Drosophila melanogaster: one gene and its partner. Changing the gene in region 1 together with any one later gene gives a genetic interaction. Each region holds a gene or a part of one and is shown on either strand. Other genes may lie near its edges.

Region 1 (8,118 bases):
CGCCGGCAATTTCTGCGTTTGGTCAGCGGTAACAATCAAAATATGTATCTACGTATCTTTTCATGTGCACAAGGTACTTCGTAAATTTGTTTAACTCTTGCCAACTAAATCTCACTTACATAAGCCAGCAAAAGCTTAGTTTTTTCTTTTTTTTTTTTTTTGGCTTTTATGGCTGCCGAATAAACATTAAAAGAAATCTTTGCACGGTACTTTGAACTTTCTTTCGTTTAATTCTAGCTAATTATACTTCACAGATAGTTGGTAATTTTATATTGCTTCGTTAAAGATGCGTGTACAAATATTTTCGTGTGATTGAATAATCATTCAAGCGATAATTTAAGGGAGTTTTCCTGGTTTTCGGTTACAATATATCTTCAGTATTTTGGCATTAGGCGAAATGTACATTTTTTGCCATAAAATTATTCGTTTTTTGGCCACAACTTTAAAAACAATTGTCTGAATATGGAATGTCATACCTCGTTGAGCTCGTAATTAAATTTCCAATCAAACTGTGTTCAAAAATGGAAATTACATTTTTGTGTCATTTTTTGCAAATTTTGATGATGTTACCCCTTACAAAAAAAGGCAAAAATTGATTCAAAAATTATTTTACCGAAATCAGTCAAAAAGTGATAGGAATCGTTGGCGGTGGTAAAAAGCTAATTAAAAAACTTATTCTTTTATCTATATGAGCATTTTTAGTCAAGTTGTGATAAAACTTCCTTTAGTAAATAGCGAAATTTTGGAAAAAGTAGTTTTGATGATTTTTCGATTTCGATTTAATTTCCAATTGATTGCCATTCAAAATTGTCAAATTTTTTTGACCACTTTTTCCAACATTTTATATTAAATGCGTTTTTTTTTGTGGTTTTACTATTTACCGGCCTATGCATATGTAAAATGTTGGTTGGAAAAATTGGCCCGAAGGCATAAAAGGCACAGAAAGTACAACAAAAATTTGCAATTGCCGGCAAAAATCGAATCATTGCACTGTAATCCGCTTTGGTATTAGCCAGAAATCGTATTTACAGCACACTTATTCATAATTTGGCTAGCCAGTTTTCGGCTGGCAATCCCACGAAAATCAACGAGGGAAGCCAATCTGCAAATCTTCAATTGAAATCTAATCTGCTGCTGGGGAAATGGAGGGTTTTGCTCATAAAAAAACAAAGACCCGATTGTTCCGCAGCAAATTGGGCAGGCATTAAATTGCATATGATCACGGAGAGCTAAGTAACTTTTCCTCCTTTGAAAATTTCTTTTCTTTTTCTTCCGCAAACCTCATTTGAATGAGGTTTGTGCTCCCCCTTTACTTTTCTCCATGTGTTTTTATTTTTTTTGCGAAACGAGTCTTTGGGGTAATTAAAAGTTCATTGTCGTCGACGGCCTTCCCAACTTGTTGTGGAAATTATTTTGCAATGTCTGCCCAAAAGCGCAGCTTCCATGAATAAAAAAGAAGGAAAAATAAAAGCGAGCCTCCACACGACTTCCCCATCGTTTAGGTCTTTTTTTCTTTGGATCTTTTGCAGAGGCGAGAGATTTTCCCACATGAAAAACGATGACAAAATGTGCAGGAGGCACACATCGTCATCGTCATTTAGCCGGTGAGTGAAAGTTGCTGATGACCAACATGGACATGTGGATGTGGATGTGGATGTGAATATGGTTGTGGTTGTGTATATCGATATGGTTGTGAATCCATGGCCAATGCCTTCACGACAATCTGCCGTAATTGAACTTGAAGCTGCCACCAGGAAGCAGACTTCAGCCGCCAGACTTTGGATGTGCAGGTGCAGCATCCCAAGTCCCAAATCCCAATCCCAATCCCAGTCCGAATCTCAATCTTAGCCAGAAGAAGATGATAATCGTTGGCGCGACGTCAGTCACGACATTTGCGCAATCGACTTGGGCCAGGCCAACTGGTTTTTCTCTTATTTTACTGGATTTTGATTGGTTTTATGATATTTTTTATTTTCATTTTTTTGCTGCCAGACGAGGGAGCGCCTTAGGTGGTGGGTGTCCGCAGACCTTATCACAAAAAAAAAAACTGCCAAAAAAGCTGGCGCATTTTAATGGATCATAATGCGATTACAGTTACGCAGATACGACGATAACGCATTCACATTCATAAACAACAAAAATACAGCGAAGCGAAACAAAGGCTTCTAAAAAAAAAGAATGCGATTCTACGCGAAATTGCTGTGGTGCAAAAGTTCACCATGCCTAAATGTACCAAGTTTTTATATGATTATTTTTTACTACAATACAACCACTATCTTCTTATCAACAAGTTATGGATTTAGATAACTCTTTTCGCTGAGTGCAATCCTAACTGTTTGTTTCACCGGTTTTTTTTTTTTTTTAACTCCAAAAGAAACAAAAGAAAGCTCCGTCGACCTTCAAATCATGCAATTGCTGTAGAAAAAGGGCGCTCGAGGTGTGGAAATGATGTTTGATCTAGATAGCATGTAGAAATTAAGTTGGGAAATTTCTCGGTAAATGTAGGTGTGTGTGTTTTTCTCTTTGACACAAGTAGAGATAAAAAAAATGCAAAGCAATTGCGGCTTAATTCGAAAGTCAGCAAACATATAGAGAAACTAAATCGAAAAAAAAGTATCTTAAGTAGTGAATTCATATCTCTAAATACAAAGTATTGATAATTTACTACTTTACTTAACCACAATTTTGCATATCTTGCAATACCACTTGCCGCAGTAGTTTTTTTTGTTTTTTTTTTTTACCATCTTGGCCAGATATTTCGCAGATAAATCGTTCGAGATAAACGGGTTGCACAGCACTTCGAATAAGTCGATCTATAAATTTCATCCCATGCCTATCAACATTGCCGTTTGACCCGCTTAACCTGCGTGTTTTGCATCGCACTAATTTATTCAAAAACTGTTCGACTTTCGTTCGCCAAAGCGAACGACGCACTCCTATTAAAAAAAAATAAAAAATTAAAATTTAAAAAAACCAACCAATTTGATTAGGTTATTTCGAGTGACCTCGACACCGTTATTCCGCTGATAAAGCCAAGGTAATTCGCTGCATGCGAAGCTTCGGAAGCTGTCAAAATTCTCAGTTCCAAGTCAATTGCCAGTCGGCACAAATGCAAATGCACTCGAAAAAAAACACCCCTAATAATAATGTTTTTTATATCGAAAATGATATTATAATTGCTTGTCTATAAATGTGGAAAGTTCTATATTTTCTGTTCATTAAACTTATAAAGTTATAGTAAGTTAAAACGAATATTTGTAACTTTCTTAAAGTTCAAAAGCAGTTTAAGGTAATAAGCCATCAAAGAACTAGTGAATGTATCTCAAATACTAAACATCAAAATGATTGAAGAAATCGTCAAAATTCCCCTAATTATCAACTTTGATTGCCAGTGCAATTCCACCAATCGATGGATCGGCACTTGGCGAGCTGCGAAATTTAAAAAAATCGGGTCAGGCCGAGAGATGCATGGTGCCAATTGGCCAATCGGTTTACAGATGGCCACACAGGTTAATTAACGATTTGGACCAATTAAGAAGATGTCGAGAGGGGGCGTTGGGCAATGGACAAATGAGGATAGGGAGAGAAATTGTGTTGGATAATTGTGCAATTTGGATTAGTTTTGAGTGCAGGATAGAGTGCGAGTATCACTGTGGATACGTGTGCAGTAGTTAGTCGGTAATTAGTGCCAAATCTCAAGCCAAACCGAACTGAACTCGATCGCAACTCACCCATGAATTATCGCGGAATTGTGACATATTTTGGCCAGCGGCGGGGGTTAGGATGCGGGTAGGATATTATGATGCGGTATTGTGAACTATATGTGTTTTTTTTATTTTTTTCAATTTAAATTTTATAATTGAAGTTTAAAGCATTTACTACTGGTCAGCCCGGCTGATTGTTTGCTTTCAGTTTCAGCTCGTCGCTTTTCCTTCGCGTATTTCGTTTGTGTAACTTTTATTTTACTTTTGTTTTTTTTTTTTTTTTGATTCGCGAATTTCACAGTTTTTGTTTAATTTATCTAACCAATTTGTTAGCACACACACACAACGACACTACGATACACTCACACACACGACGAGTCAGCTGAGCGTAACGCATGTGTTCGAGATACTTTTGTATCTTGTATCTGCGTTTTTTTTTCTTTTTTTTTTGGCTGCTTTCTGAGGCGTAACTGCCAGCACGATTACGTGCGACAATTGTAGCACTCGCCAGCAAAAGGCAGAGATGCACTACTCAAAAACGAAGCACTCCAGTTCAAGGCGAGCAAAGCGTTCGCAGGTAGAAAGAAAAAACAATAAAAAAAAATGTAATAAAAATATAAATAATAGTACACAGGTCGCCGAAGTTTTGGTGGAAAAACCGCGCTGGAAAAGCCGCATGCGCTCTCGTCGCTCTTCTACGAAACGGCGAACTAAACGAGTCGAGTCTGCGCCGCCAACTGAATCTGGCTTTTAGCTTTTGACTCCGACTCCGCGATCCACGCTACAACAAATCCCAATCCCAATGGCAATCGCAATCGCAAACGCCGCTCGCCGCTCTCCGTGAGCGGTGGCAATTGCAATCGCCGGTCGCTGGCGCTTTCTAAACGCTCTCCGCTCAACGCTGAACGCTCTTTGTGGAGCGGCACAGTGGGTACAGTGGGCTGATTTACTGACTTATGTGGCTAAAAAAAAAAACAACAAACCTGCAGGGAAATCTTCCACTCGGTGAATAGAATATGATAAAGAAAAATATGAAATGAAAATGCATAAAGAACATATATTCAACTGATTGAAGTCAGCTGACATTCAGACAATTTTAGATAAAAAGATTTAATTTTTAAAAATTTATTTATTGTTAAAAAAAAGTTGCAGCCAATTGGACAAGCTTTGTGTACGTTTTAAAGCTCGTTTAAGCTTGGCTTACGATGACTTCAAAGTTATGGAATGCAGATGCATAAATTTGCATCTTTCGAACTTACCCTTATGACTTATTTCGATTTCCGTCTAAATGCTGTGATTACAATATTCTAATAACTTATTTAGTTACCTTACAAGCCGTGACTCATCTGAATTTGACTTTACTTGTAGGTGAGAAAGCCCAAAACTATGCCATAAAAGAAAAACGCAATGTTGTTGAGTTTGAAATACCAAAAAAAATTTTTATTTTCCCTTAGGAGAGAGTCAGAAAATTCATATTATAAGCAATTTTGTGGATGATTTCGATCGTTTGTCCAAATATTGTTGGGATTCGCTAGCGTAAAGTGTTATTGATATTTTTTTTTTTTTTACAATTCTTTGAAAGTTGCACTTGGATTTTAAACAGAAACTCGTAGCTGAGCGTTTGGGGTTCGTTTTTTGCGGTTCCGAAAATTACAATTTTGTTTGAGAGCTTAACAGGATAGACTATGGCTTAAAGGATCGATGCGAATGAGTCTATATAACTATTGTACATCTATTTAATATTCGTGGGTGTGTGTGTGTATCTGTGGTTTTCGGGTTTCTAAGTATATAACATACGAATGCTGCATAGCCAATCCAGATGCTAAACGTTCTCGACTTTCCCACACAATTGCCACAAGCGAATACAGTTTTTTTTTTTCGTCGGTATTTCTCATCCGATGTAGCTCGAAAAATTAATATTAAATTTGTAATTATTATCCCAGAAATTGGAGATTCTCTTATTTAATTCTGTTTTTTTTTTTTTGATTTTCCGTTAGGTTTGCTAAATGCTATTTCAATTTCTCTTTTCGTTTGTCTTAAGTAAAATTGAATCAAATTCCTCAGTGCTTGCAGTGCATATCGTACTTAGTAATTCATGTTGTCTATGCTTAGTGACTAATTCAAAAAAAGTAGATATATATATATATATATATATATATATTAAATAGGCATATACATACAGTGATGGGGATGGTTATCAATAGTGTGCTTTTTCTTACATCTATAAATATAGTTTATAGGATCTGTGAGTGTTTGTAATTCGGTATATGTATGTACACTTTACAGTTAAGCAGTTTAGAACTCTTCGATAGAAATACTTTCAGACTTGCGTAAGTTAATAATTAAATGTATGTATGTATATATATATGTATGTATATATAGTGTATATCCAGGTGGAAGGGAGAATCCAAAGTCGTTGTCTGTTCAAAGTTTCGATTTGGGCGAGGATTGAATTAAAACGCGGGGTTTTGCGGGAGTCGATAGAAAATTGCACAGAATTTGTGTATTTACAGGGTTGTCGGTGTAAATAAATAGATTACTTTTACACATTTATGCCGCTTTATTACTTTATCAATATATGTATATATATATGTGTATATAGTATGCTTACTATCGTACAGTTAGGCATTGTTTTTAGGTATATCGTTCCTCCATCCATTTCTGTATCTTGACCTTTACAATTTTGGTTTGCCTTACTTGCTAGGATTTCATAAGACTTGCGTTTCATTTTTCCATATTTTGTTCAAAAGTTGCACTTAAACAATTCGAAAAAAATATATACTATATATGTATGTCTATATATATATATATGTTTTTATATATACTCGCATATATATATAGCATCTATGTTGTTCCTATGTACACATCATGCAGTAAGTGTTTCCATTTAGTGTTATCCTGTTTCTCTGTGTCTATGTGTGTGTGTGGTGTATCCTTGTGTTTTTTAGTGGATATTCTGGATATCCATAGTTTTGGCTTGGACCCGGTTGTTCTCCGAACAGCTGTGACACTTGGCTAGCCATTTTCTGCATTTTAGCCCTCGTCAGTATTAACTTTCTACTAATTCATCATCATCAATTTCTTTCACCATTTAGCATTTAGTCCGTCTAGATCGATAGATAGCACTCTCCTCGGTGACACTTAACTTATTCCGCCTTCCCGCTTAAATCCTTCAACTACAATTTCACTTTGAAGCTTTTTTTTTGTTTCTATATAGCAAATTGCGAAAATTAACCAAATCGTTTTGGTTTTACTTTGAATTTCTTATTGATTATCGGGTTTTCAGAGTTTTGTTTTTTTTTTTATTTCTTTAAGTTTCGGTTCATAGTGAATGGTTTAGGGGGGATAGCAAACGCTTCATCGGCCTTCATGCTCGGCTCATTTGCTATAAAATCTCTAGATTGTCAATTGCTAAATATTCCTTACTCAATTCTGCTCTACTGCATATGGATTTCCAGCTGCGATCGCCATTGGGGCGGGTATTTAAAAGAATATTACAATTTTCAATAAAAAAAAAAAAAATAAAAAGTAAACTTTTTAACATGAATGAAGAAATTAAACAAGATATACAAGCTACAATAAATATGTTCAAAGTAAAATGAGCATTAAGGTTTGTAGTTTCGTATAGATCTTTTTAAAAATTTTGAAAGTTAGTTACAATATAATTTCCTTTTTGTTGACATAAACAATCGCCTGATATTTTGACCGCAGCTGAAGAATTCATTAGTTGCCGCAGTCGGTGTGGATTGGTGTTACGATTTTGGATTCCGGTTGCCCAATGGGTGGCACGTCTTATGGGGCGTAAAGGCAGCATGCCCGAGATCCCGCAAAGCCCGAATCGAAAATCGTGATTTGCGACACTTCGACACCAGCTGCGACAGTCTACGATGTGAATGTTGGTGTGTGTGTGTGTGTGTGTGGGGAGGTGGTGTGTTTGCTGTGTAGTTAACATTAATTTTTGCTCGTGTGTGCAATCCAAAACATGATTACCCACGCCGGAAGCGCGCCTCCGTGACCGGAAGTGGCTCAGGGGGCGGGTTGGGTGGAATGCTGGCGATGGCCCCCGATGTCTCCCGATAGATCCAAACCGCACTGCGGAGATCCGAAAGCCAGAGCCATGGTTTTCCAGGAACTAAGCCGCGATTGCGATTGGTCGGGCGGGGGCACAGGGCTGCATTCGGCCCAGCATCGTAAAGGTGATCGATACTTAATCGCTCTTGAGTGCCTAATAAATCGATAGTGAGACTTATCGTTCATCGTTTTCGTTTAAACGCTAAAATCGTTAAGTTTAGCTAAGCCGTAAAAATGTTTTGTAGGGAATCGCGGTAAACGTAATTGACTCGACACTATTAGATTAGAATATTTTTTGGTTTTCAAAATTTGGAATCTGAGAAAAAACAAAAAAATACGAATA
Region 2 (8,207 bases), on another chromosome or scaffold:
AACTATGATACTGAAATGATAGGCTAGTGTGAAGTTTCGATCGTTGTTCAAATCGGTAGAATGATTCATTTTCCTTTTGGCCGCCCCTGAACGCTTCGATTTGGTGGGCTTACCAACAGAGCGTTGCAATTTTGCCTAGTTCCCTTAGTGGGTCAAATTCAGTTTCCCGAGCGCCGCCGATGAAGCATCCAGGGTCCCAAGTCGAGTGTTTGTCGTTGAATATTGTTGATCATTGTGTTGAATTGATGATATCTTAGCCACAAACATGCCAAATGCGAAAATACCGAACGAATTCGAAGACGAAACATTGTGTATATTTTGTTGTTGTATTGTACATTTCATTGACGATATTTTGTACATTTAGTTATAGTTTGAAACTAATTTACACACCAAAGAGCAAGTGTTAACGATTTTTAAGTGTAAGTGTTAGAGCCGTATAAGCAGATAGCAAGAGGCGTTTCGACAAATATAAACAAAGAACGCAGTAAATAAACGCAAAAATGATGAAAATGCATGTGAGTTTTATTTGGAGATGCAGTTTGAATTTGGCGGTTTTCTTAAACTGCACCTTTTAACACTGGCCTTGTGAAAATTGTAGATGTTAACTCACTTAACAGCGCTGCTAGAGATGGCATGTTAACTTTGTTGTGCATTTAAATATGATATATCGTCTCAACGACCATCTCTAGCAGCATGTTTCTGTGAAATCAAAACAAATAAAAACACGAATCTTATAAAATATGGATATTAGAAACAACGATCCCGGCGCGGTTCAATATGGCAACTTCTTCAACTACTATCAGTTCAGTTCCGCCGCAGAACGCGTGAAACTCTTACCAGACGCGGACATATGGCTTCCTGCGTTGGAGGATGGAGAAACCCAAAAGGATAAACCCTATTTCATCCTGGATGTGGGCTGCAATTGCGGCGTACTCACTCAACTCATGCATAAATATCTGGAGGAACGTCTTCATAGATCTGTGAAAGTTCTAGGTGTGGATATAGACCCTCGGCTGATTCAACGTGCCAGCGAGGAGAATGAATCCCCGAAAGATGTGAGCTACGCCTGCGTGGATGTCCTCGATGATGAAGCCTTTGAATCCGTTAAAACCTATATGGAGGTGAATAATCTCGAGAAATTTGATGCCATTTGCTGCTACTCCATTACCATGTGGATTCACTTGAATCACCATGATCAAGGCCTGCGATTCTTTCTGCAAAAGCTCTCCAATCTGGCAGAGCTCCTGGTGGTGGAACCACAGCCCTGGAAATGCTATCAGAAAGCAGAGAGACGCCTGAAAAAAGCCGGAGAGATATTCCCTCTTTTCCTGGAACTTAAGTGGCGATCTGATGTGGATCTTCAGATACAAAAGTACCTGGAAGAGTCTTTGGACCGAAGAAAGATATTCAAATCCGCACCAACTAAATGGCAGCGAAAGATCTGCTTCTACAGATGATAATAAAAGCTAAAAGGACAATGTTTATATAGGAGAAACCTAAAACTGCTGCGAAGTATCGTAGCATATTCATGTATTCCTATATTATCATTCCTACTATTGGATTTTACAATTCAACTGATGCGAATGTGTTTTCTAGCCACTAAATTGGACAACTTTTTCAACTGGCTGATAAGAAAATAAAATCTTTAAAGTTACAAACTGAAACTAGTCCACGTTGAGCTTTCTAAAGGAACCTTCTACTCCGAAAAGCCCCTCAAAATCGATTGGTTTTCCGGGACGCAGGCTCTCGTCGGTGCCGAAGTTCACATTTTCCTGGAAGAAATCGGCGTACTCGTCCAACTTCTTCTCCATGGCGGCCACGATGTCCTGCGTGGTGCCATTCTCGCCGCCGTATTCCTCGGGCAGATATTTCAGTGGAATCTGCTCCGTCAAGAGCCCCATTTTGTTGCCGTGCACAAATAGGCGAGACTGCATTTTCTTGGACATCATTGGCTTGAACATGTTGAACAGCTGCTCGAATCCGGTGATGGTGTTGATGAAATGCTGTGCCTTCAGACGCAGTGGAAGTGCCTCCTCCGAGAAGACAGTGAATTTCTTGGCCATCGACGGCGTCATCTGGAACAAGTGTGCGGCGGTGGCACCCTTCATGTCCATAATGAAAACTACTCCATTGACATTGGCGTAGTCGTCCTCCAAAATGGCAATCTCCTGCATTGCCTGGGCCACTTGCATGCACTCCAGCATTGTGTACTTCTCCACTGGCACCAATCCCATGCGCCAGATCCCGATGCGAGGTCCATTTTCATTCAGCGGAGTGGGCAGGTAGATGATGGCACTGAATTGACAGAATTGCATTGATAAATTAAATTAGTTAGCTGGCGTCAAAATCCTTACCCCGTTTGATGAATCTCCCGGAACTTGCTATCCGTGGTGTTGGTAACTCGGAAATAGTCCGGATACTTGGTCTTCAGCGTGTAGTACTTATCTAACTTGGACTTGGCCCGCTCCAAACTGTACTTGCAGCCGCGCAAGAAAGCCACCAGAAACTGATCATCCATTCGGGGATTTAGATGCGGCTGCTGCTCGATCCATGTCTTAAACGCCTGCAGATCGGCTTCGAGACGTTCGGGATCCTCCTTGAGCTGCTCCTTGGCAACTTTTTGCAGCTCTGGCGTAAGTGGACGGATTTGCGGTGACATTTCTAGGTCGTTTGCGGTCAGGAGGAAGTACTAGTGAACTGCTCGACGATTCTTGAGGCACTACCTGGACAATTTACGTTCTATTGATGGTCGATTATACGGAGCTTTATCAATTAATTGATAAGCGTCCGATTGGGCGCCATAAACCAAACAAAGACAAACATTGTGAAAAGTACTAAGATAACAGGCGCATTTCATAAGGAATGCTTCAGTTTGAATTAGCCAAAGATCGAGGAACCCACAACCGGTTTTAGCATACATAATTAACGCGTTTTATTTGGTGTTTTATTTTTGGAAGGGATAGTAGTCCAGGCCGGAGTTGTAGTTGAACTTCTTCTTTTGCTTCTTCTGGGCGGCCGCAATGATCTCCTGCACATCCTTGCGATACGCGGGTGGCAGCATCTCCTCGTGCAGCGTGCAGGGCTTCTGCTCGGGCTCCTCCACCTTGAAGATGTAGCGCCGTATGATGTCGATGTCGCGGCCAAACTCCTCCTTCAAGTCTGCGATCTTAGTGGGCGCCGTATCAAAGGCGATGGTGAAGTGGGTGCCTTCCCGGTGAACCACCCCGTGTTCGCTGACTTTGTGGGGCAGGGCGCGGGATCCCAGGTTCTCCAGCTTCCGGATAATGCCGCCCTTGTCCAGGATGGACTCGGCCGTTCGCCTAATCACGGAAATCAGTTCGGGCTGCGGGCGGTGTACAATTCTTATTTACTTTTATGTAACTGCCGGTGGATTTCATGTGCTACTCACGCGAGGCAATTGGCGGAGCACCAGTGCTAGTTCGTAAGAAGGCATTGTGACCGGTGAATTGTATGAGCTGGTAAGGAATTTAATTTCTTATATTAACGTTGTTTCTCTCAAGTTTTAATTCATTAAAAAGTTAGTAAATCTAATGTAATTGTTGACCCACCAGCTGATAGTGTTAACAGCTGATGCAAGGAAAGTACTAAAAATGATCTAGCGCCTGGCGCACATGCTTACACCTTACAGTGTGCCAAAATCTATTGCTCCAGTGAATTTAATGTTCAAATTAATATATTATATACAACAATAAGCGATGCTCTTGTTACTTTAAAAGCAATAAACAATAATAAGAAGTTTCTTCCAAGCTCAATAATAGCTTTCTTCATCTGTTTCAACGTTATGTTATTCCATAAAATTATTAGTTTTCAAGGCCACAATAATATATTTAAAAAGTCTACAATTAACGTTAAATTATAAAAAAAAATGGGGGCACGTATTAACGAAAGTTTCATATATTTTATATAATAATAATTAAACTTTACAGTTGCTCTCAATATGGGTTCATATCCCCGCTAGATGTTAAAGAGTTAGAAATTAGGTCGCCATCGGTCTCTGGTCACACTGCAAACGCAGAGGTGTGCCTATTCAAACACATTGCGGTCACACTGTGTATTGATGCCGAAGTGAAAAAACGAGCGGAAAGTTGCGAGCGGATAAAATTGTTTTTTCGCACGCCAAAAAGGAGAAACAAATGCTTGCGTTGTGTGAGTGCGGGTGTTTTAACTGTGTGCTTGTGTGTGTGTGCAAATGTCGCCCGAATTATGACGCATGCGAAAGTGCAGGCGCTAAATAAAACCCAAAATCGAAAGAAGTTGCAACTGCAAAGCAAATGCTAAAAAAAAAGTTAGCACAAATAACAAAAAAAAAAACGGTGGCAGATCTAGAAGCAGAGTGCGTGCATTCGGCAATTGCGTTTACTTGTGTGCGTGTGTGTGCGAAATTATGTAAATACAACAATAGTAGAATTCCAATTGTCCTCTCTTTCTGCTTTTCTCAATTATGAAATGCAGTTGCATCGCTCTCTATCTCTATCGCTCCCTCTCTCTCCTCACTCTCTTTGCGCATCGAAATGCCAGTGCATAGAATTTTCTTATTTTGCACTTATCACTAAACAACTCCCAAAAAAAGTGTTTAAATTCTCATTATCTATAATTTCCTTCAACTTCATTTTTCTACCTGCCGCTGCAACTGACACGTCTGCATTGCCACTCTTTTTTGTTTTTACATGCTTTCTTACCTGCCCAACCACCGAAAAAAAAAAAAACAAAAATGAAATATATCTGACTCGAATTGCTCTCTTTCATAGAAAATTAAACATCGCGCCGCGCAACGCTGAAAAAAATATAGAAAAACAAACGGAAAATGAAAACGAAAAAGCAGCCATAAAATTAATTAACCTTTGCGGGAAAATATAAAACAAAAACGAATAAAAGTTCTCATCTTTTGCTCTTCTCCCTCGCTTTCTACCTTTCTCCCTCTCTCCTCATCGTCTGTGGATTACATTATCTTCTGTGGATTATTATTATTAAAACAACAACAACAACGACGGCAACAACAAATACAGTGGCAAGCGGATCGAGCAGAAGCAGCAGCAACAACAAACTGGCCGAATCGGAAAACTCAGCGCAAAACTCCAACAACATGAGTTGGGGCACCGAGCTATGGGTGAGTTTTTCCTGGATTTAGAGGGGCTATATCTTCAGATAAGAAGTCGTATTTCATTGATAAAACAGGGGGTTCCTATAAGCAACAAATACATAGTTCTGCTTGTTTGAGGAGTATGAATGTATACCTATAGCTAAAAATCAAAACAAATTCGTAGTTTAGCTTGATCAGAATCATTAAGGTGTCCATTACCAGCTCAAAGAAGCTGGGGTCGGAAAAATCGAATTTTTGAAATTTGAAAGCTGGAATCGTTTGCCCATTTTTTGCCCATGTTTGCCCACCAATTAGTTTTTTTTGCCCACGTCCAGTTTTTGAGATATGAATTTTCGAAAAAGTTCGAAAATTTTCGAAAATCAAAAATTTCGCTTTTTTCAAATTTTTTTTTTTTAAATCGCAATAACATCGTTTGCCCACGTTTGCCCACCCTTTAGAATTTTGAAAAAATTTATACTTTAGAAAATATAAGGCTTTTAAGTTTACCTCGGTCTAATCAGAGAGTAAATCGTTTGCCCATCTCTTAAAACCAAATATTATCAACAAAAAACGTTTGCCCAACCATTATTATTAGTTTTTATCGTTTGCCCACCCTTTAAAAAACCTTTAACAAAAATTTTTTTTCGATTGCCCACACTTGAAATACAACTAATTTCGTTAGCCCACCTCTTCAAAATAAAACTTTTCAATAAAAAACGTTTTCCCACCATTTAAAAATAAATAATTTCGATTGCCCACCTTTTAAAACTAAATAATTTCGTTTGCCCATCCTTTAAAATTCATTTTTAACGTTTGCCCACCCTTTAAAATTTGTTTTTTTCGTTTGCCCACCTCTTAAAAATGGTTTTTTCGATTTTTCACCTATTAAAACTAAATTTGTACATATGTACATATGTAATAATTGTAAGATGTGGCGCCAAAAGCACAGTTACTTACAAAAGAACAGTTATTTACATATTTACATACATTTTCAATATATCCATAGTGTTAATCATTCATGAATTGTAACATCAATTTTTCTTAATCATTGTTTCATTTCATGGAAAATATTTTATATTGCAATATAATATATATGCAAAAAAATGTATGTATGTTTATCAACACTCTCCAAGCTCAAGAAAATTCTGGAATAAAATATTTTCCATGAAATGAAACAATGATTAAGAAAAATTGATGTTACAATTCATGAATGATTAACACTATGGATATATTGAAAATGTATGTAAATATGTAAATAACTGTTCTTTTGTAAGTAACTGTGCTTTTGGCGCCACATCTTACAATTATTACATATGTACATATGTACAAATTTAGTTTTAATAGGTGAAAAATCGAAAAAACCATTTTTAAGAGGTGGGCAAACGAAAAAAACAAATTTTAAAGGGTGGGCAAACGTTAAAAATGAATTTTAAAGGATGGGCAAACGAAATTATTTAGTTTTAAAAGGTGGGCAATCGAAATTATTTATTTTTAAATGGTGGGAAAACGTTTTTTATTGAAAAGTTTTATTTTGAAGAGGTGGGCTAACGAAATTAGTTGTATTTCAAGTGTGGGCAATCGAAAAAAAATTTTTGTTAAAGGTTTTTTAAAGGGTGGGCAAACGATAAAAACTAATAATAATGGTTGGGCAAACGTTTTTTGTTGATAATATTTGGTTTTAAGAGATGGGCAAACGATTTACTCTCTGATTAGACCGAGGTAAACTTAAAAGCCTTATATTTTCTAAAGTATAAATTTTTTCAAAATTCTAAAGGGTGGGCAAACGTGGGCAAACGATGTTATTGCGATTTAAAAAAAAAAAATTTGAAAAAAGCGAAATTTTTGATTTTCGAAAATTTTCGAACTTTTTCGAAAATTCATATCTCAAAAACTGGACGTGGGCAAAAAAAACTAATTGGTGGGCAAACATGGGCAAAAAATGGGCAAACGATTCCAGCTTTCAAATTTCAAAAATTCGATTTTTCCGACCCCAGCTTCTTTGAGCTTCCATTACCTCCTATATTCTTGGATATTAAAGAGGCGCTTATCTTCAGATAGGCTATATATATTGAAAGGCTCCAAACCTAAAATATAGATAGAAACGACAACATTGGTCTTATTAAGAAATTGTAAGCACTCATCAAAAATTACAAATTGCAAGCCACACAATTTTAATTAATTAAACATTTTTGTTTTGCCAAGCACTTGGTAAATGCAATTAAACTTCTCAAATATTTTACAACTACCAGAAAATAAGCTCGAAATTCCGGTTTTTTAAAACCAACTGACACATTGTTCCTGTCAGAAAACCCTACATTTTCTAATTGGATACCCAATCTCAGTGAACTTAAGCGTGTCAATTAATTATTATTTCAATGTCATCGGTTTACCCATAGGAAATCCACTCAAATGCTCGAGCAGTGAGAATTTAACAAATTGCTTCCCATAAGCCAAAGTGCAGGCAAATGTTTTAAGAACGCACGCTTAAAGCGTCCGTCTCTCTCAGCCGCTGCATTGCCGTCTCTTTCCGTCTGCCGACCAAGTTGGAACTCGAAACTTTATAAAAAAAAAAACTGGTTTTGCGGGTTTTATGTAAATTACTGCCATATGAGCACGGCCAGCAGCAGCAGCGTGCGCCTCAATTCAATATGTGCTGCACACACATATATATATGTATATTTATGTATGTATATTTTTCGGATATATCTGCTTTCTTGTTGTTTTTATTTTCCTCATAGTTTGCGTTCTGTTTCGCCAAAGACCCCACATTCCACTTCGATCCATCGGATTCCCAGTGCCGGGTCTCCACATTATTATTATTATTATTATTTATTTTTTTTTTTGTTTTTTCCGCTCTGTCTATGGGCATTCTCCGGCTCACAGCTGTTTTTTTTCTGACGCTCTTTTCATGTTTCGTTTGGGCCGAGGGCGTTGACACGCCCAGCTAAAGCTTACCTGTCTATACAGGGATTTAAAAGATACAAAAAACCATTTTAGCTTGCCTCAGCTGCCTCCTTTTTTCCGCCGTTTTAGCCCGATTTAGTTTTTGCTGATTTCAATTCAATTCGGATACTCGAATATCGATGGGCTTCACATGCCCTCCGCC

What was found.
Region 2: of Nost (region 1) and Cip4, changing one enhances a phenotype caused by changing the other (phenotypic enhancement), as found in Drosophila melanogaster (one study listed by BioGRID).

What each region holds. Positions count from the first base shown.
Region 1 is NC_004354.4:9,026,510-9,034,627, reverse strand, and holds the start of Nost (nostrin), read right to left. Parts: upstream 4,424-8,118; 5' UTR 3,759-4,423; coding exon 3,732-3,758; intron 1-3,731.
Region 2 is NT_037436.4:4,359,948-4,368,154, reverse strand, and holds the start of Cip4 (Cdc42-interacting protein 4), read left to right. Parts: upstream 1-4,180; 5' UTR 4,181-4,292; coding exon 4,293-4,407; intron 4,408-5,027; coding exon 5,028-5,128; intron 5,129-8,207. Other genes in the region: CG11342 (uncharacterized protein), read left to right, coding at 741-1,457; CG33514 (uncharacterized protein), read right to left, coding at 1,665-2,295, 2,355-2,659; mRpS6 (mitochondrial ribosomal protein S6), read right to left, coding at 2,945-3,343, 3,410-3,454.